Struthio camelus: one gene and its partners. The main gene of each other region encodes a partner of the protein of the gene in region 2 in a complex. Links are inferred from orthologs where the notes say so. Each region holds a gene or a part of one and is shown on either strand. Other genes may lie near its edges. The genes, in order: PRPF8, PRPF31, LSM7 and PPIH.

Evidence for each region.
Region 1: PRPF31 (region 2) and PRPF8 share a complex: the UniProt entries of both Homo sapiens proteins name them as parts of the U4/U6-U5 tri-snRNP complex. The link is inferred for Struthio camelus from reciprocal best matches to the Homo sapiens genes PRPF31 and PRPF8.
Region 3: PRPF31 (region 2) and LSM7 share a complex: the UniProt entries of both Homo sapiens proteins name them as parts of the U4/U6-U5 tri-snRNP complex. The link is inferred for Struthio camelus from reciprocal best matches to the Homo sapiens genes PRPF31 and LSM7.
Region 4: PRPF31 (region 2) and PPIH share a complex: the UniProt entries of both Homo sapiens proteins name them as parts of the U4/U6-U5 tri-snRNP complex. The link is inferred for Struthio camelus from reciprocal best matches to the Homo sapiens genes PRPF31 and PPIH.

The regions. Positions count from the first base shown.
Region 1 is NC_090957.1:16,069,851-16,076,783, forward strand, and holds the start of PRPF8 (pre-mRNA-processing-splicing factor 8), read right to left. Parts: upstream 3,006-6,933; 5' UTR 2,824-3,005; intron 2,707-2,823; 5' UTR 2,697-2,706; coding exon 2,597-2,696; intron 2,489-2,596; coding exon 2,320-2,488; intron 1,648-2,319; coding exon 1,483-1,647; intron 1,382-1,482; coding exon 1,163-1,381; intron 488-1,162; coding exon 275-487; intron 1-274. Other genes in the region: TLCD2 (TLC domain-containing protein 2), read right to left, coding at 6,227-6,604. UniProt on the Homo sapiens protein: Plays a role in pre-mRNA splicing as core component of precatalytic, catalytic and postcatalytic spliceosomal complexes, both of the predominant U2-type spliceosome and the minor U12-type spliceosome.
Region 2 is NW_027182594.1:29,841-37,025, reverse strand, and holds the start of PRPF31 (U4/U6 small nuclear ribonucleoprotein Prp31), read left to right. Parts: upstream 1-4,180; 5' UTR 4,181-4,250; coding exon 4,251-4,424; intron 4,425-5,425; coding exon 5,426-5,486; intron 5,487-5,644; coding exon 5,645-5,728; intron 5,729-5,884; coding exon 5,885-5,982; intron 5,983-6,098; coding exon 6,099-6,205; intron 6,206-6,298; coding exon 6,299-6,468; intron 6,469-6,555; coding exon 6,556-6,713; intron 6,714-6,787; coding exon 6,788-6,877; intron 6,878-6,969; coding exon 6,970-7,097; intron 7,098-7,185. Other genes in the region: TFPT (TCF3 fusion partner), read right to left, coding at 1,646-1,716, 2,291-2,536. UniProt on the Homo sapiens protein: Involved in pre-mRNA splicing as component of the spliceosome. Required for the assembly of the U4/U5/U6 tri-snRNP complex, one of the building blocks of the spliceosome.
Region 3 is NC_090967.1:1,465,045-1,472,414, reverse strand, and holds the start of LSM7 (U6 snRNA-associated Sm-like protein LSm7), read left to right. Parts: upstream 1-4,364; 5' UTR 4,365-4,475; coding exon 4,476-4,481; intron 4,482-4,824; coding exon 4,825-4,915; intron 4,916-6,419; coding exon 6,420-6,491; intron 6,492-7,370. Other genes in the region: SPPL2B (signal peptide peptidase-like 2B), read right to left, coding at 4,175-4,234. UniProt on the Homo sapiens protein: Plays a role in pre-mRNA splicing as component of the U4/U6-U5 tri-snRNP complex that is involved in spliceosome assembly, and as component of the precatalytic spliceosome (spliceosome B complex).
Region 4 is NC_090962.1:12,645,769-12,652,926, reverse strand, and holds the start of PPIH (peptidyl-prolyl cis-trans isomerase H), read left to right. Parts: upstream 1-4,144; 5' UTR 4,145-4,363; coding exon 4,364-4,429; intron 4,430-4,839; coding exon 4,840-4,904; intron 4,905-5,319; coding exon 5,320-5,343; intron 5,344-5,656; coding exon 5,657-5,701; intron 5,702-6,222; coding exon 6,223-6,265; intron 6,266-7,158. UniProt on the Homo sapiens protein: PPIase that catalyzes the cis-trans isomerization of proline imidic peptide bonds in oligopeptides and may therefore assist protein folding. Participates in pre-mRNA splicing.

The DNA of each region.
Region 1 (6,933 bases), on a different chromosome or scaffold from region 2:
GAGACAAAAAGAAGTTGTCATACAAGCATTCAAGTAGGACAGAAAGGCAAATATCGTTGACCAAAGGTGTTATGCCAGCCCTTTTCCCTGAGCCTCCTCTTGACCTTAACAACCATTCAGTCTTTTAAGCAGCAAGCACATCACAAACTTTATGCTATGCAGAGAGAGAACACCCAGGTATAGCTCACCCAGGGCAAGCCACGTGGTAACACACAAACCTTCCCAGCCCTTACCCAGATAACCCCTTATCTTTCCTCCTAAACTCAGCACTTACTGAAGATTGATGTCTCTAACAAGAGGCTCGAACTTGGGACCTCCAGGAATAGCCATGTTCAGTGCCTTGGAGGTGAAGAATGCCTTCAGGTCAAACAAATAGAAATAGTTATCATCCACAAGGTCAGTGAGCAGCTGATTGGCCAGCCGGTACAACGTGGACATCATAGGGAGCGTAAACTGCCAACGCTGGTATGTAGAACCATTTACGTACCTGTGAAGGAACAAAGCACGAGACACTCACTACACAGCCAGAGAACACTGGGCCTTTACCAAAGAGCCAAGACCATCCAAACACCTTTCACTGCCTGTCATTTACAGAAAACAGTTAAAGACAGCTAACTCATGGGTCCCTCCAGACAGAAGAGAAGGTGGAAGGATTGCTTAAGACCACTGTGCACCACAACCACCTAGCAGTTACTGACCGGACCAATTCCCCTCCTCCATATCCAGACTGACACACCAACACCTGAAGTCATATTCAACAGCCTTTGAGGCGTAAGTGCACTCCTAACAAATATCAATTTAAATTCCAATCTGACAATTCAGGTTTTCAAATTTATGGCATGAAAGGAAAAACTCCAGTTTTAGCCAGTTAACTGGGCAGCAGCCTTCCTGAACAGAGACACTTTGCTTGTTCTCCATGGACGCTGAAGATAGAGGACTAGTTTCAAAGCAGTCAGATTCCTCCTTGCATCCTTGAGCGAAGGCTTCCTCTCCCCACTAACATCATACATAGCCCAGTACAATAAGACCAAAGGGTCTATAAAGTCTGCATATAGCAGTAGGCCTATTTAGTTTGTAATGTTTTGGGGTTTTTTGGTTTTTTTAGGTTTTCTTTTTCATTTGTTTTTTGCAGTGAACTGTTTCATCAGAAAGAGGTACATACTTCCTGTTGTCCTTCAGTGGCTGGTGGTCATAGAACCAGTCTAGCACAGGAGCATCTTCCTCCGGATCCAGCTCAAGCTGGATTGCTTCCAGGGGCTCTACATCCAGGATGTTATCAGCATAATCCAGAGGGGGTTCTTCATCATCAAACGGAGGGAATCTCATCCTCTTGAAATGACGCCTATCCCTCTTCTCTCGCCTCATCATAATCCACATTGACCTGGCAGAAACCGAGACCATTACGTACAGCACTACGTTAGCGTAGTTGCACGAGCGTTTATCTGCAAGTTTCCCATGAGGGTTAAGGAAGAAGGTGCTTACCCCCACTGTGCAATGTACACTGGCTCTATGACCCAAGGAATCTCATTCACAAAAGAGATGGCGCCTGTAATATGGTACAAGACTGGAACATCTCTGATTTGTTCCCAAGGCATGGGCATGTTCTCCAAGAGCTTTAGAACTGCATGAGGCATGTACTTCAGAGCACTACAAACAGAAATCAAAGAAAAACAGAGTTGGAAGGGATCTCAAGAAGTTAGCCATCCATCTGCTGAAAGCCTAACTAACTATATATATTTCACTCCCGAAAACTGTTCATCTGATCCGTTCATAAAGGTCTCCAGTGACAAATCCAACTTCCTACCCAGTCTATCCTTGTGCTTCACAGATCTTGCCACCAAAAAGTTTTCTGCTGATTTAGCTTCAGAGAGGATGTTACATGCTAAGAACAGTACCATCCCAAAAAATCAATTTCAAATGAGTTTCTACAGGTAACTGAAAGTTAGTGCAAAGGATCCCAATTTGCATGAGATGCTTCTCTGAGCCCAAATAGCAAAGAAGCACAGGTGCATATTAGATGTCCAAAGAACGTGCACTGGCCACCTTACACATTTCCTCAAGCTCCTGTTAAGACCTGTCTGTTATTCAGGGTAATGTTTTTCTCAAAAATTCAAAGCAACCGCTTCCTTTGCTTATACTCTTCTGTGTTGCTATCCCAGTGCAACTGGTTATCATGTCTTCCTCAGGTTACTACGCTGTTTTCTATACACAATTGACACGGAAAGCCCTTCGGAGCTCTGACAAGGCAGCAGAGGAGGACCGGGCGCAGCTCCCCTGTGCCACCCAGGCCCACCGTGACCAAGCAGGGGGCTGCGTTACCCCAGGTAGACGCGCTTGTCGTGGCGGAACTTCCTGTTGGTCATGTCACCGTGGTCGCGGATGATCTTGCGGACATGCTCGGGGGGCATGTCCTCCTTCTGCGCGTCCACGAAGCCGAACTTCCTCTTCTCCGCATAGCGCTTGGCCTGCAGCTGCTGCCACTTGCGGGCTGCGGGGACAGAGGCACAGCGGGGTCAGGCCCGGCCTGCGGGGCCGGCCCAGGCGGGACACAGAGGGCCCGGGGCTGGCCGAGGCCGGCGAGACCGGTCCTACCCACCTTTCTCCTGCAGCTTCTCCTCAGACATGTAGTCGGGCAGCGGAGCCAGCGGGCTGGGCACCGGGGCGCAGCCGCCGCGGTACGGGAACACGGCGGCCATGGCGACGCACCTGCGGGCACGGAGCCGGGCTCAGGGCGGGGAGGCGGCTGCCGTTAACCTCCCCCCCCGCCGCCACGACCCCTTCCCCACACCCGCCCCGGACCCCCCGACCCCCGCCCGCGCTCACCGGCTCCCGCGACACCCCCCGACTCCCCACCACAATGGCGGCCCAGGCCCGTCGCCACCGCGCCTCGGAGCCCCGGATGTGGGCGGGGCGCGCTCAGGAGGAGCTTCCAATCAGCTTCCGAGCCGCCTCACGGGCAGCTGCCGCAGCCCGTCAGAACGCGGAGGCGGGGTGCGGGGCGGGACAGGAGGCAGAAGAGGAAAGGAAGCCGTGCCTGGAGTACACTTCCGATAGGCAGCCCTTCCCTCTCCGGTCCCGCCCTCCCGCCGTTTCGATTGGTGGAGGGGGGACGGCGGCGACAGCACGGCGGCGGCGCTGATTGGACAACGCCTGGCCTATTTCACCTACGCCACCGGCCTTGCGGGGGCCCCTGGGGGGGGAGCAAGGGGGACCCCCATGGGGTGCTTTAGGGGCGAGGGGCCCCATGGGACCCCGTGGGGCGAAGGGGACCCTCCCTGGGGTGCTGCGGGGTGAGGCCCCCCCATGGGGCCTTGGGGGGATGGAGAGGAACCCCCCCCCATGGGGGGCTGGTGGATGCTGGGGGGCGAGGGAGCCCCCTATGGGGCCTCGTAGGGTGATGGGGGCCCCCTGTGGGAGCTTTGGGGGGGCGAGGGGTCCCCCATGGGATCTCGGGCACTCTCCGTGGGGTGCTGTGGGGTGAGCCCCCCCATTGGGCTTTGTGGGGATTGAGGCGGACACCCCCATGGGGTGCTGTGGGGCAGGGGGGACCCTCTATGGGGTGCTGAGGAGCAAGGCCCCCCCATAGGGCCTTGTAGGGTGAGGAGGACCTGGGGACCTTCCATAGAGTGCTCTGGGGTGAGCCTCCCATAGGGCCTTATGGGCATTGAGGGGGACCCTCTGTGGGGTGCTGCTGCCACCCATGGGGCCTTGTGGGCCAAGGGGGGACTTCCATAGGGTGCTGTGGGGTGGGGGCCCCCCACAAGGGCAATGGCAATGGCAGTGCATGCTGGCCAGCCCACGTGGCCCCATGGTGCTCACATCTCCCCTCCTCGGGTCCAGGGCCACTCCACCCCACAGCGCCGCACAGGGCCGGAGCATGGGGTGCCCCAGAGCCCCCCCCCCAGGGAGGGACACCTCCTCCCACCCAGCCCAGACCCCACGGCTGGAGCGCAGGACCTCCTTCCCGCCAGCACCTGACGCCGGGGCCGTCAGTGCGTCGGCAATTAGCCACCGTCCTCGGGGCCCCCTTCCTTGGCCCCCCGGGAACGGCGTGCCGTCACACAGCCCTCCGAGCTGGTTCAGTGTACTGTGAAAGCGCGAGGTACAACGCGCTGCAAAGACAAGCGGGCTTAATGCACCGCAGCCACCCAACAGGCGGTCACTGGCGTCAGGGCTTGGGCATGGCAGGGGTGCTGGAAAGGGGAGAGGTTGTCCGTGCCCCGTTAACCCAGCCCTGGAGGGGTGGGGGTTGGGCTCCCTTCCCAAAATCAAGGCCACAGCATTTTTCCTCTGGACAGGTAAGCATCAGGTACCCAAGCGCTTGGCTGCAGTGAGCTGCAAAGCCACCATGAGCACTGCAGGAAAATCCCATCTGCTAAGAGAGTCCCCCAAAACAGGGCTTCCCTGGCCTCAACCTCCTGCTGCGATATCCTCCGTACGCACCTGCTCGGTAGGTGATGTATCTAGAAAAGCAGCATGTGCCAGTCCGGGGTGGGGGGGGGTGCCTTTTATAACATAACCCGGGCTGTCCTCGCGTGCCTGGGGTACACGATATCCATGTGACGGCAGGAATGCGACAACACAATTGAGGCCTTGAGAAACGTGCCCGGCGTGGGCAGAAGCAGGAGGACAGAGCAAGCCTTGCTGGACGGGTGCAGAGGCCGAGCAGCTGCGCTGCGAAAAGGGCAGCTCCTGAAAAACTGCGCAGAAATGGGCCAAATCCAAAAGAGAGCGCTGGCTGCCTGCTCAGCCCTGCCTGGGAGGTACGTGAGGCACACGGGCACTTGATAACCGCCGTGGGCCCCGAGGTGACAAACCCAAACCCTGCACCTGCAAGCTTCCTTGCACTGTCCACAAATAGAAACATAAGCAGCTTTGGCCACGAGTCGTTTCCAGCATCCCACTACCCACACGTGTCGCTTGTCTTTCTCCTTCTGGACAGAAATGTGTCTGAGCCCTTATTTTCCTCCTCGAGGCAGAAGCCACCCACCCCCAGCAGTGCATTGCCAGTAGCTGCAGACTGTCTCCCTGCTGTTTCAAACCAATGGAGAAATCGCACATTCAGGGTGATCTGCCCCAAAGAGAGTGTGACAGACAGACCCAGCGGATTTCTCCAAATGGGCACACGTAACTCTGAGTGGGATGACTTTGCTTTTCTGCAAGGTGTTGGGCCACTGCAAACAGCGCAGCGCAGGGGAAGCAGGAGGAAAAAGGCAACGTGAGGACCTGCCCAGCTCTGAGCCCCTTCCCCTCAAGCTATTTCATTTGCAACTGTTTATTAAAAGCTTGTGTTAGTATGAGCGCTTGCTGCCGCACAAGAGTGTTACGGAGGCTCTGCAGCAGGACTCTTCATTCCTAAAAGATGCCCAAATCTGGCCCATCTGACGACCCCTCCTCCGTGGGAAGTGATCACCACGTAGCCCCATCCTGGCCAGCAGTTTGCTCCTTCCCATGCTTGTGCAGGGGGACTTGTTGCACCTGGGAATGAAGCAACACTGAAAATATGTCCAGGTGCCAAGAGGAGTCAGCAGCCCATCCCCGAGCGCATGGACACAGCACCCACTGCCCAGGGCTCTGGTGCCCAGGCTGCACCTGCTGCAGGCTGGCCTCAGCCTCTCCCTCCATCACCCACCTGGGACTATCTCCTCAGGGAGGACTCGCGTGCAGGATTTGGCTTTTGCTGGACTTGGCCTCGAGGGTGAAGCTTTGGCGCCTCTCCTGCCTGGTGGGATGTGCCATGGAGAGCACAGGGCTGGCAGCAAGGTCCCTGTGATGCTGGGCTGGCCCTTGGGCAGTGCTGGTGCCCAGCCTGTGGGATGCTGCAGGGTGTAGCACCGAAGGGGTCAGAGACACACAGCAGCTTTCGGCTGTCTGGAAGAGCAGCAGGGAGACAATGGTCTTCTCCTCGCTCCCTTTTCATCTCAGCAGTGGCCTTACGGAGCTGCGAGACCTGTCGAGGCTTCTTTGAGCAGCTCCCAGGCATCCAACCACGTCATCAAAGGTGCAGGGGAAGCAGGGCCCCAAGCGCCTGGTCTGGAAGTGCCTTTTCCACAGCGCGGGGCCTGGGATCTGCAGCCACTGGAGCAGCCCAGGTGCTCTGGTTAGTGTGGATCCTCCAAGCAAGATACTGAAATATCCGTGCTCATTCTCCACTGCTCTTCTTCCTCGCTGTCCTCTTCCATAGGCCTCAGGGCTGCTCATCCCCTGGACCCTGCAGAGAAAGGGGCTATTTCTCCTTGTCCTGCTGCACCTCCTTGCTGGACTTGAAGAAGTCACTACGCAGCAGGCGGTAGAAGAGGATGATGTTCATGGGCGTCATGATTGCCATGCCCACCGTGCCCACAGTGTACGTTGCCAGGGGCACGTTCTCCCGGTTGAGAAAGAGCCACCGTGTCATCCAGGCCAGCGTGGCAATGCGAAACACCACATAGGTGCCCAGGTTGACGATGCTGTTGAGGCGGTAGCAGGTGGTGTGCACCAGGTTGGCCATGAGCAGAATCTGCCGCAGGTGGAGGAAGATGGAGTTAATCTCCACCAGCAAGGCAATGAGGGCAAACCCAACGTACTGATGGAGTACCACTGCAATACCAAAGCAGACGATCACCTGAGAAAGACAAAAGAAGGGAGGCTGAGCCGGGGAGCTGCTGTCTCCTCAGGAGGGTGTAGATGGTTGCAGGAACAGCAGCTCTTAGTCACTGCCAGCGACTTTCGTGTTTGGGTGCAACATGGAGCAGAGGTGCAAACCATTGTCATGCCAGTGCCCAACTACTGGTCATCCCCCCACTTACATCTCTGCAGCATCTCAGCCGCCAGCTGGTCCTGCCACCTCCAGCATGAGATCAAGTCTCCCCACCTTCGCACAAGGCCCGAGTATTTTTTTCTGGTGGGAAGAAGGGGCAGGTGGAGGAGATGGAGACATTTCTACAAAGTCCA
Region 2 (7,185 bases):
GTGTCGTGCGGGCGGCTGTTGTCACCGCGCGCAGGCTGACGGCACCGCGCGGACACTGCGCGCGGCTGTCAGTGCCGCCTGCGGGACGTCACGCGTGATGTCAGGGCCGTGCACGGTGACGGTAGCCCGTGCAGCATCGGCGCGCGGTGTTGGGGGCTGGGTGGTATCGGTACCACGCAGCGTCAGCGCGCCGCGTCGGTGCACGGTGTTGGTGCCGCGCACGGTGTTGGTGCAGCACCGTGCGCGGCATCAGTGCGTGGTACCGTATGCAGTGTCGGTGTGTGGTGGCGCGTGCAGTGTTGGTGCGTGGTAGCGTATGCGGTGTCAGTGTCACCACACGGTGTCAGTGCGGTCTTGGTGCACGGTGCCGTACTCAGTGTCGGTACGTGGTGTCAGTGTGCAGTGCACGGCGCTGTACGAGGTGCTGGCGCGCGGTGCCCGGCGCTGTACGCAGTGTCAGTGCAGTGTTGGTGCGGTGTTGGCACGTGGTGCCCGGTGTTGTACGCGGTGTTGGCGCGGAGCCCGGCGCGGTGCCCAGCGGTGTACGCGGTGTTGGCATGGTGTTGGCACATGGTGTCGGCGCGCGGTGCTTGGTGCTGTACGCGGTGTCGGCGTGGTGTCGGCGCGTGGTGCCCAGCGCTGTACGTGGTGTCGGCGCGCGGTGCCCGGCGCTGTACGTGGTTTCGGCGCGGTGTCGGCACGCAGTGTCGGTGCGCGGTGCCCAGCGCTGTATGCAGTGTCAGTGCAGTGTTGGTGCGGTGTTGGCACGTGGTGCCCGGTGTTGTACGCGGTGTTGGCGCGGAGCCCGGCGCGGTGCCCAGCGGTGTACGCGGTGTTGGCATGGTGTTGGCACATGGTGTCGGCGCGCGGTGCTTGGTGCTGTACGCGGTGTTGGCGTGGTGTCGGCGCGTGGTGCCCAGCGCTGTACGTGGTGTCGGCGCGCGGTGCCCGGCGCTGTACGTGGTTTCGGCGCGGTGTCGGCACGCAGTGTCGGTGCGCGGTGCCCAGCGCTGTATGCAGTGTCAGTGCAGTGTTGGTGCGGTGTTGGCACGTGGTGCCCGGTGTTGTACGCGGTGTTGGCGCGGAGCCCGGCGCGGTGCCCAGCGGTGTACGCGGTGTTGGCATGGTGTTGGCACATGGTGTCGGCGCGCGGTGCTTGGTGCTGTACGCGGTGTCGGCGTGGTGTCGGCGCGTGGTGCCCAGCGCTGTACGTGGTGTCGGCGCGCGGTGCCCGGCGCTGTACGTGGTTTCGGCGCGGTGTCGGCACGCAGTGTCGGTGCGCGGTGCCCAGCGCTGTATGCAGTGTCGACGCAGTGTCGGCGCGCGGTGCCTGGTGCTGTACGCGGTGTTGGCGCGGTGTCGGCACGCGGTGCCCGGCGCTGTACGCAGTGTTGGCGCGCGGTGCCCGGTGCTGTACACGGTGTCAGCGTGGTGTCGGCGCGCGGTGCCCGGCGCGCGGTGCCCGGCGCTGTACGCGGTGTTGGCGCGCGGTGCCCGGCGCTGTACGCGGTGTCGGCGCGGTGTCGGTGCGCGGTGCCCGGCGCTGTACGCGGTGTTGGCGCGCGGTGCCCGGCGCTGTACGCGGTGTCGGCGCGGTGTCGGTGCGCGGTGCCCGGCGCTGTAGGCGGTGTCGCCGGCCCCGTACCTCCGCTCCTGCTGGAGGCGCCGCGTGATCTTCTGCACCTGCTGCAGCCGGTTGAGGATCCTCTCGTTCACCTGGGGGGGGGGAAGGGGGCGGGTCAGCCCCTGCCGGGGGCGTGGCCAGGATGGGGACAGTGGGCGGAGCTAGCTGTGTGGGCGGGGCGATGCAGGGAGGGGCAGAGCTGGGGAGCAGCAGGACGAGCTGCCTGAAGTGGGCGTGGCCAACCCAGGGGGCGTGACCAGGGCGGGGCTGTGGGAGGGGCTAGGCGTGTGGGTGGGGCTAGTTGAGGGGGCAGGGCTGTGCTTGCAGTGGGAGGGGCTGCCCACAGAGGGGGCGGGGCCACATCCTGGGAAAGGGCGGGGCTACTTGGGGGCTACTTGAAAGCCAAGAGGCCACTCCCCCGTGTGGTGGGCGGGGCCAGATAAAAAAGGCGGGGTTTGTTCCGGAGTGGGTGGGGCTTGGGCGCGGGGGCGGGGCCTGCCCGGAGTGGGCGGGGCCTGTGTGATGAGAACAAGGGGAAAGCAAAGGCGCTTCTCAAATAGGAACAGCCCCAAAGGCAAAGTGTGTGGGTGGGTGGGCTAAGGGGTGGCGGTGGCCATGTTGGGGGCGTGGCTTATCGTGGGCGGGGCCTGCGGGGCGGGGCCTGACCTGCTCGATCTCGCGGCAGCGGCGGCCCAGGGCCTGGAGCTTGCGGCGGGCCAGCTCGCGGTGGCGCCGGCGGCTCTCCTCGCGCTCGCGCTCGTGCTCGGGCCGCGCGTCGCCGCTCAGGCCGCCGTCCACGAACTCCACCTCCGTCTCCAGCTCGCTCTCCAGGATGTTGCCCCCGAAGAGGGGCGGCAGCGCCAGCTCCGAGCCCGGCGGCGCCGAGAACTCCTCGAAGCCCACCCCCGCCATGGCGCTGCGGGGTCGGGGGGTGGGGGGGGGCCTGCTGTGACGCTGCTGCCCCCCCCCCCCCGCTGGGGTCCTCTGGGCCCCGTTACACCTCCCCCCCTACCAGCACCCCTCAGCCCCCAGGGGTCTTTCTGTTCCTCCTCACTGCCCGCCCCCCCCCCCGATCCCTCTCTCCTCCGCCCCGGACCCCCTCGGTTCCCCCCTTCCTCCCTGTCCCCCCCCGGTGCTCCCTTCACCCCCAGTGCCCCCCCCAGTACCTCCCTTCACCCCCAGTGACCCCCTCGAGGCCCCAGTGCCCCCCTGCCCCCCCCTCGGTTCCCCCCTTCCTCCCCGTGCCCCTCCGGTGCTCCCTTCACCCCCAGTGACCCCCCCCTCGGTTCCCCCCTTCCTCCCCGTCCCCCCCCCGGTGCTCCCTTCACCCCCCAGTGCCCCCCCCCAGTACCTCCCTTCACCCCCAGTGACCCCCCTCGAGGCCCCAGTGCCCCCCCTGCCCCCCCTCGGTTCCCCCCTTCCTCCCCGTCCCCCCTCCGGTGCTCCCTTCACCCCCAGTGACCCCCCCGAGGCCCCAGTGCCCCCCTGCCCCCCCCAGTTCCCCCCTTCCTCCCCGTGCCCCTCCGGTGCTCCCTTCACCCCCAGTGACCCCCCCGAGGCCCCAGTGCCCCCCTGCCCCCCCCCCAGTTCCCCCCTTCCTCCCCGTGCCCCTCCGGTGCCCCCTTCACCCCCAGTGCCCCCCCCAGTACCTCCCTTCACCCCCAGTGACCCCCCCGAGGCCCCAGTGCCCCCCTGCCCCCCCTCGGTTCCCCCCTTCCTCCCCGTCCCCCTCCGGTGCCCCCTTCACCCCAGTGCCCCCCCGAGGCCCCAGTGCCCCCCTGCCCCCCCCTCGGTTCCCCCCTTCCTCCCCGTGCCCCTCCGGTGCCCCCTTCACCCCAGTGACCCCCCCGAGGCCCCAGTGCCCCCTGCCCCCCCCTCGGTTCCCCCTTCCTCCCCCTCCCCCTCCGGTGCCTCCTTCACCCCCAGTGACCCCCCAGTACCTCCCTTTACCCCCAGTGACCCCCCCTGAGGTCCCTGTGCCCCCCTGCCCCCCGGTGTCCCCCCCCCGGTATCCCCCAGTGCCTCTCTGACCCCCCAGTTCCCCCCCGATGCCCCTCTGCTGCTGCCCCCCCCAGTGCCCCCTTCACCCCCGGTTCCCCCCCCGGTCCCCTTCTGCCCCCCGGTGCTCCCCCCGGTCCCCTTCTGCCCCCCCGGTGCCCCCTTCACCCCCGGTGCCCCCCCGGTCCCCTTCTGCCCCCCCCGGTGCCCCCTTCACCCCCGGTTCCCCCCCCGGTCCCCTTCTGCCCCCCCGGTGCCCCCTTCACCCCCGGTTCCCCCCCCGGTCCCCTTCTGCCCCCCCGGTGCCCCCTTCACCCCCGGTTCCCCCCCCGGTGCCCCCCTCCCCCCCGGCTCCCCCCCGGCCCCGCCCCCTACCCGGCGATGACGTCACCCGTCGCCGCCGCGGTCCCGCCGCCGCCGCCTCGGTTTGGGGGGGGGGGAGGTGTGTGCGGAGGGAGGCGGCGCGCGGTGATGACGCAGTCCCGGCGGGAGGGGGGGGCGCGCGGCGATGATGACGGAGCGAGGGCGGCTGGGGAGGGCGGGAAGTGACGTCGGAGGGAGCGCGCCCGGCCGGAAGTGAGGTCGTCAGGCGGCGACGCGGCGCGGGGAGGCGGCGGCGGCCTGAGCCATGTCGCTGGCGGACGAGCTGCTGGCCGACCTGGAGGAGGCGGCCGAGGAGGAGGAGGAGAACTTCGCCGACGAGGAGGACGAGCCGGCCATCGAGGATGTGCAGGAGGAGACGCAGCTCGACCTGGCCGTGGACTCGGTCAAGAGCATCGCCAAGCTGTGGGACAGCCGCATGGTGAGGGGGGTCCCGGGGGGAGCGGGGGGAGGAGGAGGGGGGGGTCCCACGAGGAGGAGGAGGAGGAGGAGGAGGAGGGGGGGGTCCCGCGAGGAGGAGGAGGAGGGGGAGGAGGAGAGGGGGGGTCCCGCGAGGAGGAGGAGGAGGAGGAGGAGAGGGGGGGTCCCGCGAGGAGGAGGAGGAGGAGGAGAGGGGGGGTCCCGCGAGGAGGAGGAGGAGGAGGGGGGGGTCCCGCGAGGAGGAGGAGGAGGAGGAGGAGGAGAGGGGGGGTCCCGCGAGGAGGAGGAGGAGGGGGAGGAGGAGAGGGGGGGTCCCGCGAGGAGGAGGAGGAGGGGGAGGAGGAGAGGGGGGGTCCCGCGAGGAGGAGGAGGAGGAGGAGGAGAGGGGGGGTCCCGCGAGGAGGAGGAGGAGGAGGAGGAGAGGGGGGGTCCCGCGAGGAGGAGGAGGAGGAGGAGAGGGGGGGTCCCGCGAGGAGGAGGAGGAGGAGGAGAGGGGGGGTCCCGCGAGGAGGAGGAGGAGGAGGGGGGGGGGGGTCCCGCGAGGAGGAGGAGGAGGGGGGGATCCTGTGAGGAGGAGGAGGAGAGGGGGGGTCCCGCGAGGAGGAGGAGGGGGGGGTCCCGCGAGGAGGAGGGGGGGGGGTCCCGCGAGGAGGAGGAGGAGGAGGAGGGGGGGGTCCCGCGAGGAGGAGGAACAGGAAGAACAGAGAAGGGGATTCTGGGAGAAGGAAGAGAAGGGAGGGGTCTCGGGAAGAAGAGAAGGAGCAGTCCTGGGAGGATGGAGGAAGGGATGTGGGGAGCCAAGGAAGAAGTTGGGGGGGGTCCTGGGAAGATTCAGGGGACCTGAAGAGGAGAAGGAGCTGCTGGGAGGAGGAGAAGAGGAGGAAGGGGAGGGCAGGGGGCCCGGGAGGACGTGAGGGGGGCGCCGCGGTCGGGGCGCTCTGCCCTGCGCCGGGGCTCGCGGCCGCCGGCTCCGCCGCGACGCAGCGCCCTGCGGCCCCGCAGTTCGCGGAGATCATGCAGAAGATCGAGGAGTACATCAGCAAGCAGCCGAAAGCCGCGGAAGGTGCCGGCCCCTCCCCACCCCGCTCCCAGCCCCACGGCAGAGCCCTCTGCCCCGCCCTGGGGGGGCCACGCTGCCCCACGCGGGGGCGCTCTGCCCCGGCGTCCCCCTCCCCGTGCTTGTCCCCGGCTCGGCCCTGAGCTCGGCCGCTCTCCCGGCAGTGCTGGGGCCGGTGGAGGCGGCTCCGGAGTACAGGGTCATCGTGGACGCCAACAACCTCACCGTGGAGATCGAGAACGAGCTCAGTGAGTGCTGGGAGGGGGCTGGCGGCCGGGGGGGCGACGCTGGGGACGTCCCGGCGTCCCCAGAGGGCTGAACGGGGGCAGGAGGCTCCTCTCTCCTCCTCCCTGCGGCGCTGACTCGTGCGGGGGGGCTCCGTCCCCCGCCCCGCCTCCCTCCAGACATCATCCACAAGTTCATCCGGGACAAATACTCGAAGCGCTTCCCTGAGCTGGAGTCTCTCGTCCCCAACGCCTTGGATTACATCCGCACCGTCAAGGTAGCGGGGCTGGGGGACGCCTGGGGCCTCTGCCGGCTCCGGAGAGGGGCAGCGGGGAGCCGGGACGCCGGCGGGGGCCCGTCTCAGCCCTCTGCCCCCGCCCCGTCTGCCCCCAGGAGCTGGGGAACAGCCTGGACAAGTGCAAGAACAACGAGAACGTGCAGCAGATCCTGACCAACGCCACCATCATGGTGGTGAGCGTCACGGCCTCCACCACCCAGGGGTGAGTCGGTGCTGCTGGCGGCTGCGAGCCGACCGCCGTCGGGGGCCGGGGCGCCCGGACGCCGGGGCTCCCTCGTCGCCGCTCCGCCCGCAGGCAGCAGCTCACGGACGAGGAGCTGGAGCGCATCGAGGAAGCCTGCGACATGGCGCTGGAGCTGAACCAGTCCAAGCACCGCATCTACGAGTACGTGGAGTCCCGCATGTCCTTCATCGCCCCCAACCTCTCCATCATCGTCGGGGCCTCCACCGCCGCCAAGATCATGGGTGAGCCCTGGCGCCTGCCCCCAGCGCCCGGCGCGAGCCCCTCCTGGGGCCGGGGGCTGCTCCCTGATGCCCCCCGCCTCCCCCCAGGCATCGCCGGGGGCCTCACCAACCTCTCCAAGATGCCGGCCTGCAACATCATGCTGCTGGGGGCGCAGCGCAAGACGCTCTCGGGCTTCTCCAGCACCTCGGTGCTGCCCCACACCGGCTACATCTACCACAGCGACATCGTGCAGTCCCTGCCCCCGGTATGGCGTCCCCGGCGCCCCCCCCCTTTCCTGCCCCCCTCCCCAGCCCCGCACTGACGCCCCGTTTCCCCCAGGATCTGCGGAGGAAGGCGGCGCGGCTGGTCTCGGCCAAGTGCACCCTGGCAGCTCGGGTGGACAGCTTCCACGAGAGCCAGGACGGGAAGGTGAGGGGGGGGGGTTCGGGGCGCGAGGGGGGGATTCGGGGAGGACGCCCGGACACCTGGGCTCTCTGCGCCGTCTCGTTTCCTTTCCGCAGGTCGGCTACGACCTGAAGGAGGAGATCGAGCGCAAGTTCGACAAGTGGCAGGAGCCGCCCCCCGTGAAGCAGGTGAAGCCGCTGCCGGCGCCGCTCGACGGGCAGAGGAAGAAGCGGGGGGGCCGCAGGTGAGCGTGGGGGGGTCTCCCTGGGGCATCCGGCCTCCTCGGGAACGTCCCGCCCGCGAGCCGCGCTCCGCTCCGCTCCATCCCCCAG
Region 3 (7,370 bases), on a different chromosome or scaffold from region 2:
AAGACTCTTACTAATCAGGCACCCATATTCAATAGCAGTGCCATGTCACAAGTAAGATCTCTGCAAAGCTGGAAATTTGCTAGAATCATAATTAACAAGTGAGGTGTTTTTACATGACACTGCAAAACTAGGAAAGGGCTTTCACATAACAAAAGCATAAAGTCTGAGGGTGTAACTACACAGGCAACTAAGCCAGTCTGTTTGCAGCCATTAGAAGGGCACACTTACTTGCTCTGATCCTCATCAGACCCTTCCATGGCCTATTTAACACATTAAGAGAGCAAACCACTTTTTTCCTGAGTTAGTTTTTTGTCATGTTGGTGAGTTAATGGAATTTGGACAAACGCTAGGGCTCACAAATTAAGTAATGGAAGAAGTGAAGAAGGTGGCAAAGAGAAATTTAGCACATCTGCATTTCATGGAATTGTGACATGAAAGGCTGAGCAAACCTCATGGCTCACTCTTGCCATTTGTTCCTCCCTCCCTTAATCTCCAGACTCATCTGGGCACCTCAGACACACTTGTTCCACCTGTGATACTTGCTAGATCACTATGAGCTGACTGAGCTCACTATCAGTTTTTCATGCCAGGCTACTGCTAGTTGCAATTACATTAACTCTATCATTTCAGAGAGACCTGACAAGCAAGAGTTGGCACACAGGTAGTAATGGGAGCAAAGAGCTGGGAAATGAGTATGAACAATCTCACCTTTCCAGTGGCATTGGCTCAGGGAACTACAGCCTAAGGCTAATGTTTTAAGGCAGAAGACAACGACATCGCTACCAGCAGCACCAGCCCTTTCCTGCCTACTGTAAAGTATTTCTTCTCACGTGATACCCCTCTTTGTGCAAATAGAGTTGTGCATCTACAGTGACTTGGATCATTGAATTGATTCCACTGAAAAATAACACATTTATTCATAAATACTTATTTTTTCAGTGTTTGTCAGCTGTATTAATTCTCTGATCCAGTTCACCACAGAACTGCAGTATTGGCTTACTGTTCAACAAATTTTAGCTCAAGTTGAGCCCTACAGAACAAGAAAAAAGCCACCTTCTCCTGCTGTGCAGTGGAGTGATTCAACTTACAGGTACCTATAGAAACCTTTGCACATCTACAGTAAGAGGAAAGAGGCAAGACAGGAACAGATATAAACTGTATACCTTTAAGGCATGACATTGTACAGTAAAGGGATAAGAGATCATTAGAAGGAGCAATTTACACTGTAAGGAGGTCACATGAATCTGAGTATACACAGAGAAGTTGTATCACTAATTAGGATTACAAATTTGTATGGCAATAGTGGGAGGAGAGAAGACAGTGCTTTATGACCACAATCCTCCAGTCTGAACAACTGAGGATACAGTCCTAGTAGATGCTGGTTTCAGCAGCAAAGCTGGCAGAAATAGTTGCCTATTCACAACCCTCTCCCTGAGTTCATAGTCATCTCAGTTGTGTCAACACAGCTGTCTGGGGAGCTGGTCTTAAGTCAAGTCCTTTTAATAAACAAGAATTAAAAATAATCCTCAAAAAGTTTAACTGTGTCACTCCAATCATGCAGTTTCTAGCACAATCTGGGTGAACAGTGATGCTGACACAAGAATGATGTACACTATAGCACAGGAAAAGAAAAATTATTACCTTGGAGACACTGGTTCACAGAATTACACCATAAGCAGCAGCTTCCTCTGCACAAAGATAAACAGAGAATGAAGTGCTGTTTGCGATTCAGGCAGTCCCAACAACCAAGAGAAATCCCATACTACATGGCAATTACCCACAAGGACTGGGAATGACCCATAGCTCTGACAGCTGAAAAGCACATGGAGAAAAATCCAGGGAAAACACAACACAATTTCCAGGTTGCTATTGACTTGTATTTTTTCCCCTCTTTTTGCAACTTAGAGTAATTTGTTTCTAATTCTTTAATTTTTTTCCCTTATTAGAATATACTGCATGTACAGCTTTTCCTCAACTTCATCAATGGATAAAATTGTCTTAGAGATTTAAGAGACACTATTGCTTCTTCAGGGAATATAGCTCCTCCTCCCCCCTCCTTCCAAAAAAAAAAAAAAAAAAAAGATATAATGAGCTATGCCTACTCTTACAGCGGAAACCATGCAAGACAAATAGTGGAGTTACCAGGAGGTGGGGTGCGTTCCTTCCCCTGTGAGCTGCATAATCAACGCAATGACTATCAATAGCAGACAACAAATTTGCAGACAAAGACAATACTCCTTTAACAGGCACTGTACAGTGGGAAGAGAGTTCGTAATTGACACTATTCATAATGTGACAGTTTCATGTGATTAAGTTGTCAGCCATCTTAATCTAGAACTTCAGGAAGTCTCTTGGACCTACTGGACCTGCATCACAGAACACTGATTTTACAAAACAGAAACCACGACCTCAATTCAATATTCTACCAAAAGCTAGTAAAATAATGGCAGCTAGCTAATGGCAGTGAGCTAACATGCTCACTGTAGATTGTGTTATATATTCTGCATTAGTCAAAGGTTCCTATACCTCATTATTGTTACAGAGCAACCAAGAGATGGCAAAACCATGAAGGAAAGGTGAGAATGACAGGAAATTAAATGAAAAGTGAGGACTCAGATGCCAAAACAAGATCTCTAGGTGTAGATTGTACTTGGATCTCTAAGATCGCACCCCTCTTCTGCTGCTTCCAGATGAGGATCTATATTTAGGAGAACCATACTTCACTAGCCAGCCTGCTCCTTCTCCCTACTTAATTCAGTTCAGAAGCAAACCTGGACCATCTTCTGAAAAAGGCCATCCCACCTCTCAGTAGGGAGAGGAAGAAAGATATACTCCCAATACACCAAACAGACAGTACTACTTATATTCGAAGAAGTTGTAAATGAGCTAGCTTGGGTAGCAGAAATACATTAGCAGCATATAGTAAGTTAACTCTTTGCTGCTGCAGCATGACTGTTTCAGTATTCCAGCTGACTTGTTCAAAGCTTGCTCAACCATGCTTACACTACTTTGCTGCACAAACATACTAAATGACTTGCTTACAGAAAGGAAGCAAGCTGCAGTGCATGGAATTGAAGCCAAGACCTTCAAGTGTCAGGGCTCAACCACTGGACTATCCTACCTGCTATCTTTCCACACTCTCATGGGGGTCACCCTTTCAAAATTGATGGAAAAAAATGACTCCATGCCAGTCCTTGACCCATTCTTACATCTTCTCTCATATTAATTTGAGGGCTCCAGGCTGGCAGCACTAGTCTAGTTGAAGGATTATTAGAGACACCAACAGTGTGCAGGACAGGCAAGCACAGAGGAAGGGAGCAGGTGATGCACAGAAAAAGAACTTAGCTGGCAGTCTGCCCATTATGCAAGTAAACATCACTGGCAAGGAATCAGTATGCATGTTTGGGGGTGGTGGTGGGGAGATTTTTAAAGAAATTTTAAAATTTTTGCTTGTTCCTGTAAGACCCTTGGAAATACAGTTTATCCCACAAAAGGTATCAGTTCAGATGAGGAACAAGAAGACAAAAATCAAGACAGTCTATAACTTCAGGTTCAGCAGAAACCTTGCTTTACTTTACAACAGCTGCTTTCTCAGAGGCAGTTTGTTGCTTGGGATGAACTCAAAGCCAAGAGCCTTCCCTGCTGCAGTGACCCTGATCCCAGCCCCATCCAGTGGCTTAGGCACACTTCCCAAAGGACCACCTGGAGAAGACTGCTAGCAGCACAGGGAACCGATGTTGCAAGAGCTACGACAAATATTTTGCTAACCACAGGAAAAGAGATTAAGAAACACGTAAATCGGGGAAGACACAAAACACAAACCTGAGCCCGGTTTGGGGTAAAAACGATGCTTTCTTCTTTCGTCCAGCAAGAAAATACTGTAAGTCGGTCATTAACACCCGGGAGGCGGCTCCGGAACCGCGCTCCCACTACGGGAGCACGGCTGCGGCCCCCTCATACCACTGGGGCCGTCCTTCCGGCTCAGCGGAGGCCGGGTACCAGCCCCCCCAAGTCCCCGCAGCCCCAACGGGCTCTTGGGATCTGTCCTGCACCAGAGCCAGGCTTTGCCCCACGCCCAGTCTCTGCCCGGTTGCTGCTCCGTCCCGGTAGGGTTCGCCGGGCCCCGCAGAGAGAGCGGGCCCAGAGTATTCCTCGGAACGGCACAGCCACTCACCTGCGCAATGAAAAGCAGGAGAAGCGAGGCCCGGAGCCAGGCCTGCCGTACTGCCGCCATGCCGGGCCCGCCGCGCCGCCGCCCGCTTTTGTTTCCGACGGGGCCGGGCCGGGCCGGGCCGAGCCCCCTTCCGCACCAGGTAACACGGCAACCCGCTCCGGAAGTCCCGCCCCACGCCTGCTGGAGGAGCGAGTCGCCCTTGTGGACAGCCAATGAAATGGCCTGTGGTGTTGACGTTGCTTCTGGCAGCAGCGAATGAAATGGCAAGCGGCGGGGAGAGGACAGTGGCGGCGCGAGCAAGATGGCGGTAAGCTGTTGGCGGGGGCTGCGGGGCTCGTGCTCGCCTAGGGAGCAGTCACGCGGAGGTGGCGTCTGGGCTCGTCACCGTCTTTCCGTGGCTGCGGCCGCTGCAGGGCGACGAGCGGGGCCGTGTAGTTGCGGTCTCCCAGCCTTGGGAGATGCCCGGGCCCGGCTGCCCCGTGCTGCCCGCGCGCGGAGGGTCGCTGTGCCTTTTCGCCGTTTCCCCCGCTCCGCCTTCGCTTTTAGCTCTGTGTTGGGGGAGGTTTGCCTTAGTGGTATGGTTCCCCACCCGGGGTCTGTGTGCGTGCAGAGATGTTTTAATTTAGCTTGTTTTTGGTCAACTTCCTTAGGATAAGGAGAAAAAGAAGAAGGAGAGTATTTTGGACCTCTCCAAATACATTGACAAAACAATCCGAGTGAAGTTCCAAGGTGGGAGAGAAGGTGAGCCTACGGGCAGCACTTGGCTGGTAGTGAGGCACGTGAATTTGCAGCATACTTTGCATCTTGGCTTTTTTCCTCCTCTTCTGTGTCAACTTTTGTCTCCTATGTGATCATATTGCCTTCATTCAAGAAAAGATGAGTAATGGATTCTTTTCTTTGTTGCTATTTGCTGTTACAGGTATGAAGCTTCTTATTGTGTTTTGCCTTTAATCTTTCCAGTAGCCCCCATCACTGTTATTTTATCTTTGTGTTTCATCCTCTTTGTGTCCTTTTCTCATCATCTTCCATTGGTTTTCTTAAAGTATCTTTTTGGCTGTTTTTGGTGGGGGTTGTTTATTTGTTTGTTTTTATTGCAAGGATGCACTTAAAGCACAAAAGAAACAAAGCTTCAGAGCAACACATCTGTCTTCCCTTTCATCTGTTAACTTCCTGAATGTGCTGCCTGTTGTTTTGAATTCCTAGATTATTCTAACATGTTTTACAAGATCTTTTCGTCACTTTCAAGGCTCTTGTATCCTCCCCTTTCATCCGTCCTTGCTCTGCTAGCATATATCCATCACTAAGCAGCTGATAGTGCCATCTGCAGACACTTGTTCGTCTGACAGTTCACATGCTGTGTGGAAGTGCTCTGCGTAAGCTTTTGCAAGGCTAGCTGAGTTTGTTTTAAAATACCATTTTCAAACTCCCAGTTGCTCTGGATGCTTACTAGTTTTGAAAGTTACTAGGAATCTTTGATCAGTGGGTTTTTTGTATTTTTGGGGGCAATTGACAATTCTATTAGTTCTATTGGTTTAGATTTTCTTATCAAAAAATTTGCTCCAAGTTTCTTTCTGTTTTTTTAAATAGGATTATGGGAGTCATATCTTTTGGTTTAGTGTCTTAGCAATGATCGTAATGCTGGTAATCAATAGATGTTTTCAAGATGGAAAGTTATTCTGTGCAGTCCTGCAGTTTCTTTACTGACCAGTCTTGTAGATTCGTATTTGGTTTCCTGCCAAAGTGCTTGGCTCTGTGCAATGTATCCCTATAAAAGCAATACTTATGTTGAAAAGATTACAATTCAGGACGGAAGACAGGACACCTGGAAGATGGGTCACCTGAGGAAAACACTTAAATATTATCCTCTTGGTTCATTTTCCCATTCATCTTCCTTAAGAGCTTTTTTTAATGATATAAATTGTGTTGATTTGTATGCTGAGGTATTCTTAAAATGCCCCTGAAATTGACTGATAACAAAAATGTAAAAGTTTTGAAGAACATTTTGAAGAACTGGCTGAAAAACCTGAAGGCTTCCATTGACACAACACAGACCGGTTTCAGCTTGTGCTTTTACATTTGCATTGTGATAAAGAGGGCACTATTTAATATCTCTGGCTTGGCTTGTTTGATAGCCTTGCTTGAGGGAGGAGGGCCTGGAACTGGAGAACTGAGTCCTGTGTTGCCACAGTCCTATTTTTTGGCAGGGGGTGTCTCTAATCGTTCCTTTCTGTGTGGTCTTTAATAGCTAGCGGAGTCTTGAAAGGATTTGACCCTCTTCTGAACCTTGTGCTTGATGGTACCATTGAATATATGAGAGGTAAGTAACATGCGATTTGTGTTTTTTAAAAAAAAAAATCTTCCCCCCTGCCCCCAAATATTTCGCTTGATAAAAAACATTCTGTTCTGTGAGTTGAATAACCAGAAACTGCAGCTTGAGATCATCCAAAGTGAGATTTGTTCACAGTTAACTATGCTTAAAGGAAGGGTTAAGATAACAGAGGTTAGGTTAAGGGGCATTGCTTGTGGTAGAGGATTCTTATTAGTCCTTTTTGACCTCCCCTATAACCCATCTGGTCCTTGTTGTCCTCCAGCACTTGAATGAAGTAGCTTCTGTCCTCTTAAATGAGGCCGTTGCCTTTCACTTTGTGTATACCATTGGAGGAGGCCAGTTCACACACAGCATGAAAAAAAACTCAGTAAAAATTGGTATCTTACTGTCTTAAACTGTTCTGTTAGTGCGATCTTTGCATTTCTGTGGAACTAAAGCCTTCTATAACCTCTTAAGGCTAGCACAGCTGTGATTTTTAGTTTTATTTTCCCCTGCAAGCACAAATGTTCCTCTTCCCCTTTTTGCTCCCTTAAATGAAAGCGTCTTCTCATGTTAGGGGGCAATCTGTTTTCTAGAGTGTTCCCTTGCCTGTTTGCAAGGAAGCATCTCAAAGTTTAATTTTGTTCTTAGGAGGGAATTTTGAAAGATGAGCTTAGTGCCTTTTTACAAAATATTTTGACATCTTAAGGAGTGTAGAATTGGCTCTTGCTGTGTTAAGAATGTTCATCTGTCTGTCCCCATCCATTGTCTCGCTTGATTCAGTCTGGGCACAGACGAACAAGGAATTTGTTTAGTGCGTTCTGTAGTCAGGGTCTTTGTCTGATTTGCATTGATGCCCAAATGTTTGTCTGAAAGGGTATTTGGAAT
Region 4 (7,158 bases), on a different chromosome or scaffold from region 2:
AGCAGGAGACAGCGGTTTCGAGAAGGGGCAGCACAGGCTCTTGCAGCCTCCACTAAGCAGCTGGTCACGGGGAGAGTGGAGAGCTGCTGTCAAGCCTCTGGTCTGCCAAAGCAGAAGACAGCATGTGGTCAGCACATATCTTAGGAAGGTGAGTACACACAACCCCAGTGCTGGGAAGGGCACAAGAGGCCCCAACCACAGCTCTTGTTTCCACCTGCTTGGGATGTACCTTCTCAGAGATGCTTTTCCGGAAGAAGACACATGCAGGAAAGAGGAAGATCTTGGGCACTGGGCCTTGTCTTTTTCAGCCTCAGCCAAAAGAAAGGGCAGGAGCACAAGAAGCTCTGCGCCAAGTGGGGCCTAACTTCCTCTCCCACACAGGGCGGGAACAGAAAGCAGGCCCTCCTCCAGCTGACTTCACCCCAACAGACAGGGCTTCCCAACAAAGCATGGCTGACCACGCACTTCACTGAGAAGCCCTCGTCTGACAAACTTCTTCCCCGCTAGCTTCAGGAGGAGACAAGCCCTGGCAACGAGGCCCTCGGCAGCTCTCGGTGGCTCTACCAAGTGGGAGATGAGAAGCTGCATGCTCGGTCCGTCAAGGGCTGCAGAAGGAAACCTACTCTCTGTGGGAACAAGAAGACACCCCCCAGCAGGCATCTGGAAAACAGCCGTCTCCCTGTGGGTGATGATCAAAGGCCTCAGCCTTGGCTTCTGCAACAGAGACCGAGACCCATGAGGCCACCCCCAGGAAATGAGCCCCTTGCTCACAAGGCAAACAGTTGCCCACCAGCCACATGAGAAGCTGCCTCTCCACAACTCTCTCACCAAGTGCTCTTGCACCAACATCAGCCCCTCTCCCAACTTGTGCCTGCAGCCCAGCAAAGCCCTGAGAATGGGCAGCAACACTGCCAGACTTTGGGCAAGGGCAAGAATCAGGAGACTCCCTCAGGAGACTCGGTCTTGCCTAAAGGAGAAGTCAACGGAAGCTAGCACGACGCAAGGCTTTGTGGTAGCTGGCCTCTCTGGTGGCTGCCTTTGCTCTCTTTGCTTGCACGGACCATTGCTGAAGACAGAACAGGGAGTCCAAGCAGTGCGGCCAACCCCCAAGTCTCTGCTGACACTCAAACGGCTGCATCTGTAGCTGCAGGAAGAGAGACACGCAGCCCTCCTTCCTCCCTGGCACGCTCAGGGAAACCTGGGACAGCCAAAGCCCCGAGAGCTGGAACAACAGCAAGCGGGGGGCCCGGTCCGAGACCCGTCACTGCAGCACAGGCTGCAAAGGGCTGGTCAGTGCAGCGACACCAGCAGAGCAGGACGGCAGGGCCTTGGTCCGTTGGTGCCTCTGCGTCCTGCCCAGAGACAGCATCTCTACAGCGTCGCTTTCTGGGAGGAGGAGGGCAGGCACTGGGAGAAGCACCAAGACAAACCTGCCCCGGGCTTATACTCTTTCCTAGCACAAAGGGACATGGGCTACCGGGCTGGATCTTTGCTCTGACCAAAGACAGCTTCTCAGAAGGGCTTCTGTGTCGCCAAGTCTCTCCTGAAGGCCAGACAAGAAGTCTGCCGAGAGCTCGCGTTCCTGTAAATCAAGGCGAGCGCAGGGGACGAGGCAGGCCAAGGCTTTGACCAGGAAGCAGGAGCAGGAGAGGCAGTGCTGAAAAGAGGCCCGACTTACGCTGAGGAAAGATTTTGCCAAGTTCCTGGTCCTACCTACTTTGTAAATAAAGTCTTCAAAGAATCTCATCAGCACTCCAGGATGCTGAAGTTCTTGAAGACAAAGTCCAAATCCTTGCTCGTGGACAAGGCCCACACAAAGACTTTCAGGGTCGCCTCTATACGTCTCAGCACCTTCCCCTTCGGAACGTGCGGCCGCAGTGCAAGCTGGGCCTAGTTCAACTCCACAGCTTGGGAATAGGCTGGAAACAAAGCACCGAGCAACAAAGTGACTTGAGCAGCCCTTCAGCAGACCCCAAACACCCTGCAGCACAACAGACAGCCCCTCGGGAGGCTTCTCGCCCCCCCCTTCCACCCCACCTACTCTCCATGGAGCAGCCAACGTCTTGCCTGCGGGGGCCACAGCCCCGTCCCCACACCCCCTGCTCTCAGCAGCAAAGAGGAGATGGCATCAGTGGAAGGGAAGAACCACTCCAAACACAGCCCCCACCCCGTGCTGCTCCACACTCACCATCAAGGGCATCCTGGGGCTCTCCATGGCCTTGGGGCAAACCCGCTCCCCCGTCTCTGCTTCGTGCCTGACTGCGGCTCGCTTAGGCCCCTTGTCCCCACAAGGCAGCTGGCAGGGCCAGCAACAACGCTGGCACTCGCCTTCCACAGTGCGCCAGGCTTTCTGCCCTGCCAGGAGGAGCTCGAGAAGGCCCTGAAGAAGCGAGCTCACAGTCTGCTTCTCCAGCTGGGCTTTGCTTTTTCTCTCCATTGAGGGAGACGTGGCTCTGGGGCAAAACTGACACAAAACTGCAGGCTCCTGCTGGGGCATTTCTTCTGCTTTCAGCGGTGGCAAGGAATAAGGCTGCTCCATGGCAGGATGGAAGCGGGGGCTCAGCACTCATGAGGGTTGGAAGGAGGGTGAGGAGACAAGACCCACCTGGTTCAGCAGCAGCGCTTGGCAGTAGCATTCAGAGATGCTGTCCCAAATTTTAACAACATCTGGGGAGCAAGAGGAAGACATGCCATGCTTGAAGTCAGACAAGCTCACCACCATCCCACCTGCTCCAAACCAAGCTCCAAGATGCCAGCATCATCCCCACCACCACCAGCATCCTCGCAAGGACCCGCGGCGGAGGGGCCTGCAGAGCTGAGTTTTTACCTGACATCCGACTAGAAGCCCTCTGCTGACCCCACGAGAAGTCTGGAGCTGAAACGAAGGCACGAGAAGGGCTTTGGACGAGGGGCTCCTCCCATCCGAAAGGGGAAGGGGGCTCCGAGGTCGCAGCCTCTTCCCTGCTCTGGAGGCACAAGCGGATCCCAGAAGAAACCAGAGGCGGTGGCTAGCTTTTTCCAAGAAGCCAAGCTCAGCAGAAGGAACTACAAGGTCTTGCGAAGGAAACGAGCCACCCCTAACGAGCGCGTTTCCAGCAGGCTCTCTGGAGGCCAGGGCACCTCAGCCTTCTTCACGCTTCCTTTCCTGGCAGATCCTCCTCGCCGCACCTCATCCTCTCCTTGGCCAAAGCTGCCAACGGCTTCGCAGGCCAGCGAGGGGACGGCGCCTCGGGGCACCTCCGGGCCTTTCCTTCCTGCCCCAACCCCGCGAGGCCTGCAGACAGCGGCAGGGGGAACTCGGAGGAGAGCCGCTCCGGGGCGCCAAGCCCTCCAGGAGCAGTCAATACACGCGTGTGGCTGACACGGAAGCGGCCGTTAGGCACGCGGCCGTTATGGAAGCGGCCGTTACGGGAGCGACCATTACACGCGTGATCGTTACGCGCGCGGCCATTATGGAAGTGGCTGTTACGGGAGCAACGGTTACGGAAGTGGCCATTACGGGAGGGACCATTACACGCCTGATCGTTACGCGCGTGGCCATTACGGAAGCCGTTATGGGAGCGACCGTTACGGGAGAGACCATTACACATGTGATCGTTACATGCACAGCCATTATGGAAGCGGCCGTTACGGGAGCGGCTGTTACGGAACTGGCCGTTATCGGAGCGACCGTTACACGCGTGATCGTTACGCGCGCGGCCATTATGGAAGTGGCCGTTAACGGGAGCGGCCGTTAGGGGAGCGGCTGTTACGTCCGCGGCCGTTATGCACGTGATCGTTACGTGCGTGGCCATTATGGAAGCGGCCGTTAGGGGAGCGGCTGTTACGTGCGTGGTCATTATGGAAGCAGCCGTTACGGGAGCAACGGTGATGGAAGCAGCCGTTACGGGAGCGACCGTTACACGCGTGATCGTTACACGGGCAGCCATTATGGAAGCGGCCATTACGGGAGCGGCCGTTAGGGGAGCGACTATTATGCATGTGATCGTTACGCGCGCGGCCATTATAGAAGCGGCCGTTAGGGGAGGGACCGTTAGGGAGCGACCATTACACGCGTGATCGTTACGCCCGTGGCCATTATAGAAGCGGCCGTTAGGGGCGCGGCTGTTACGTCCGTGGCCGTTATACACGTGATCCTTATGCGCGCGGCCATTATGGAAGCGGCCGTTAGGGGAGCGGCCGTTACGCGCGCGGCCGTGACAGGAGCGGCCGTTACGCGCGCGGCCGTGACAGGAGCGGCCGTTAGGGGAGCAGCCGTTACGGGAGCGACCGTTACGCGCGCGGCCGTGACGGGAGCGGCCGTTACGCGCGCACCTCTCCGCGCCGCCGCGGCCGCTTCCGCTTCCGGGGGCGGGCGGGCGCCATGGCGGTGTTGGCGTCCAACCCCAACAACCCCGTGGTCTTCTTCGACGTCTCCATCGGCGGGCAGGTGGGCGAGGCGGCTACGTGGGGGAGGGGGGCTGCGGGGGGGGGGAAGGGATTGCGTGGGGGTGGGCGTTACATGCGGGGAGGGGGCGCCATGGGGAGGGGTTTCAGGGGGTGGTGGGGGGTGCGCAGCGGGGAGGGGGGCTGCATTGGGGAGGGGGCTGCAGCGGGAGGAGGTCTCGGGGGGGCAGAGCTGCAGTGGGAGGGGGCTGGGGCGCATTGGGGGGGATTGTGGGGGGGCTGCAGGGGGAGACGGCTGCAGCGGCGCAGTGAGGGGTGAAGCAGGAGTAGGGGGGCGCAGGAGGTGCAACTGGAGGGAGCTGCTCGGGTGCCGGGGGAGGGACGCGGGGATACCGGTGGGTGCAGCGGGGGTCCGGCAGGCTGCGCTGACCACGTTTCCCCCCCCCCCCGCAGGAGGTCGGCCGCATGAAAATCGAGCTGTTCGCTGATGTCGTGCCCAAAACGGCGGAGAATTTCAGGTAAGGGGCAGCCGGCGCCGCTTCGTGCTGCGGGAGCGTTTCCGGTGCAAGAGCAACCACCTCCTTGCCAGAGCCGCTGCATCCCCTTCGCGCCTCTCTCCGTGGTCATCTCAGTCCCACAGTAGACATTCATATACCCTGCCCTCTGTGCAAAACGGTGCCGCACGCCACGCTCGCCGTCTCTTACAACCCCGGTGTTGAACAGCTGACCCTCCCCAACTGCAGAAATGCCCCTTTTGAAATGGAAACGATGAGCAGTTCCTGACAGTTGCCCTTTTCCTTGGTGGTATTCCTGATGCTTTAAGGACAATCCTGCAGTTTTTCTTCTGTAAAACATTCAGAGCGCAGCGGTTTGGCATTCCTAGGAATACAAATGTGACTCATGCTCTGCTGTTTTGTACTTTTTGTTTTCCAGGCAGTTTTGTACAGGTGAATTCAGGTATGTGCTTAGATTCTCCTTCTAAATAGTATTAAAAAATATTCAGATGAGCAGAGGGCTGGGGGACTAGAAAGAGAGGTCACCTGGAAGTTTTTCTTAGTGCATCAACACAGAACGAAAAAGTTAGAGAAAACACGACTGGCTCAGTCACACGGATGGCAGACTTACCCAGCCTTCCCTTTTGGGTGCGGCCAGAGTCGGGTACGGGTTTGGGTACGTTGCTGTAACTGGCACTGCCAGCAAATCCCATGGGAGAGTTTTGTGTTGGGATATACAGTAAACTGCAATGATTTTCCTTTTTATTTCCTCCTAGGAAAGATGGTGTCCCTATAGGTTATAAGGGAAGCACTTTCCACAGGTAACTCTTCTGCTTTTGTTTAGATGCTTAAACAGCAGTGTGAGCTGGGCCTGGTTTTGAGAGCTGCCTCAAAGGTGTTATTAGTCTGGGAGGTGTTTTTTAAGCATGGAGGACTGGTCACTGCTGGTATCATCTTTCCAGAGCCTCTGGCATGTCTGTCCTTTGGGGGGATTGGGGGATTTGGGGTTGCCCTCAGATATACCAGAGGGAAACCATGGTCTCCTTGGAGCTTTTGAGTTGACACACAGGGGTCACTTTGCAGGGGGTCCCCCCATTCCTGGTCTGCCAGGTCAGAGATTATGTTCTTGCATATATCACCTAATCTATCCCATGTTTAACAGCAGTGGATCCCAAATTACTTTATATCAGCCAGTAGTTAATATTCAGTGTAGATTTTGCATTGTAGTACTTACAGACCCTTATGATTTTTTTGGTTGTGAGAACTAACTCCCTTTTCTGACATAGTAAGCTTCTGGAGGCATTTTTTGACTGAGAAGTAAGTATCGTTTTACTTTTTGTAGGGTAATAAAGGATTTCATGATCCAAGGAGGTGACTTTGTAAACGTATGTACTTCTGTATTTCTTTTGTACTTTTGCTGCGTGGTATAATATGCGACTCTTTCCCAAGGTCCATGCTTACTTGCAATATCTGTTGGCTCTCTTATGAGGCAGCCAGTAATAACTGGAGGTTTCCTTACAATGTTCCTACGATCTTACTGCAGCAGTACAAGTACAATGTACTTGGAAAGAAATCCGGAGACTTGGGCAAGCACGTTTTCTTCTCTCCCAAAATATTTCCCCTTTAAAACAGCATGATAGCATCATTAGAGACTCTTCAAACTTGCAGGGAATTTTTACCCTGTTGCCCTTCTCCTTTCTTCTGTCCCCCAGGCAAGAAACCCTACAAATTTCTTTTGGCTCTGTGGAGAGAGACTCTGAGCATAAATCCTAGCGTCTAGTCCAGGATTTATTTAAATCAAAATTAATTTCTATTATTAGTGAATTGTCTCAAAGTAGAAAAGACTTTGTACCTACAGTATTGTGCCTTTCGGATAAGCCAACTGTTGGGGAGATGCTGGATGATCACTGGGTCTCTTCGCTACCCTAGGACCTGGGGAAATTATTTCATTTCCCAAACCACTTGCAATTGGAGGGGGATGATGGAAAAAGCTTTTTAACACAAAACTCAATTTTGTGAAAGCTGAGAGAACTGACTGCAAAGTGTGTGGCTTAGTCACATTGGGTTTGCAGCTAGTCCTAATCATCATGCTGCTCAAATGTCCCCGTGGCTTTATTACTTTCACTAAAGCTCAACAAGCTTTACAGGTTGCACTGGTATTTGTAACTTATTAATTGCGCTTCTTATAAAGCTACTTGGGGACCAAGAACGGCCACACTGGGCCCTGAAATAGGGTACACGATCCTGCCTTGTAGCTGACAGTTTGAATAAGCCACAT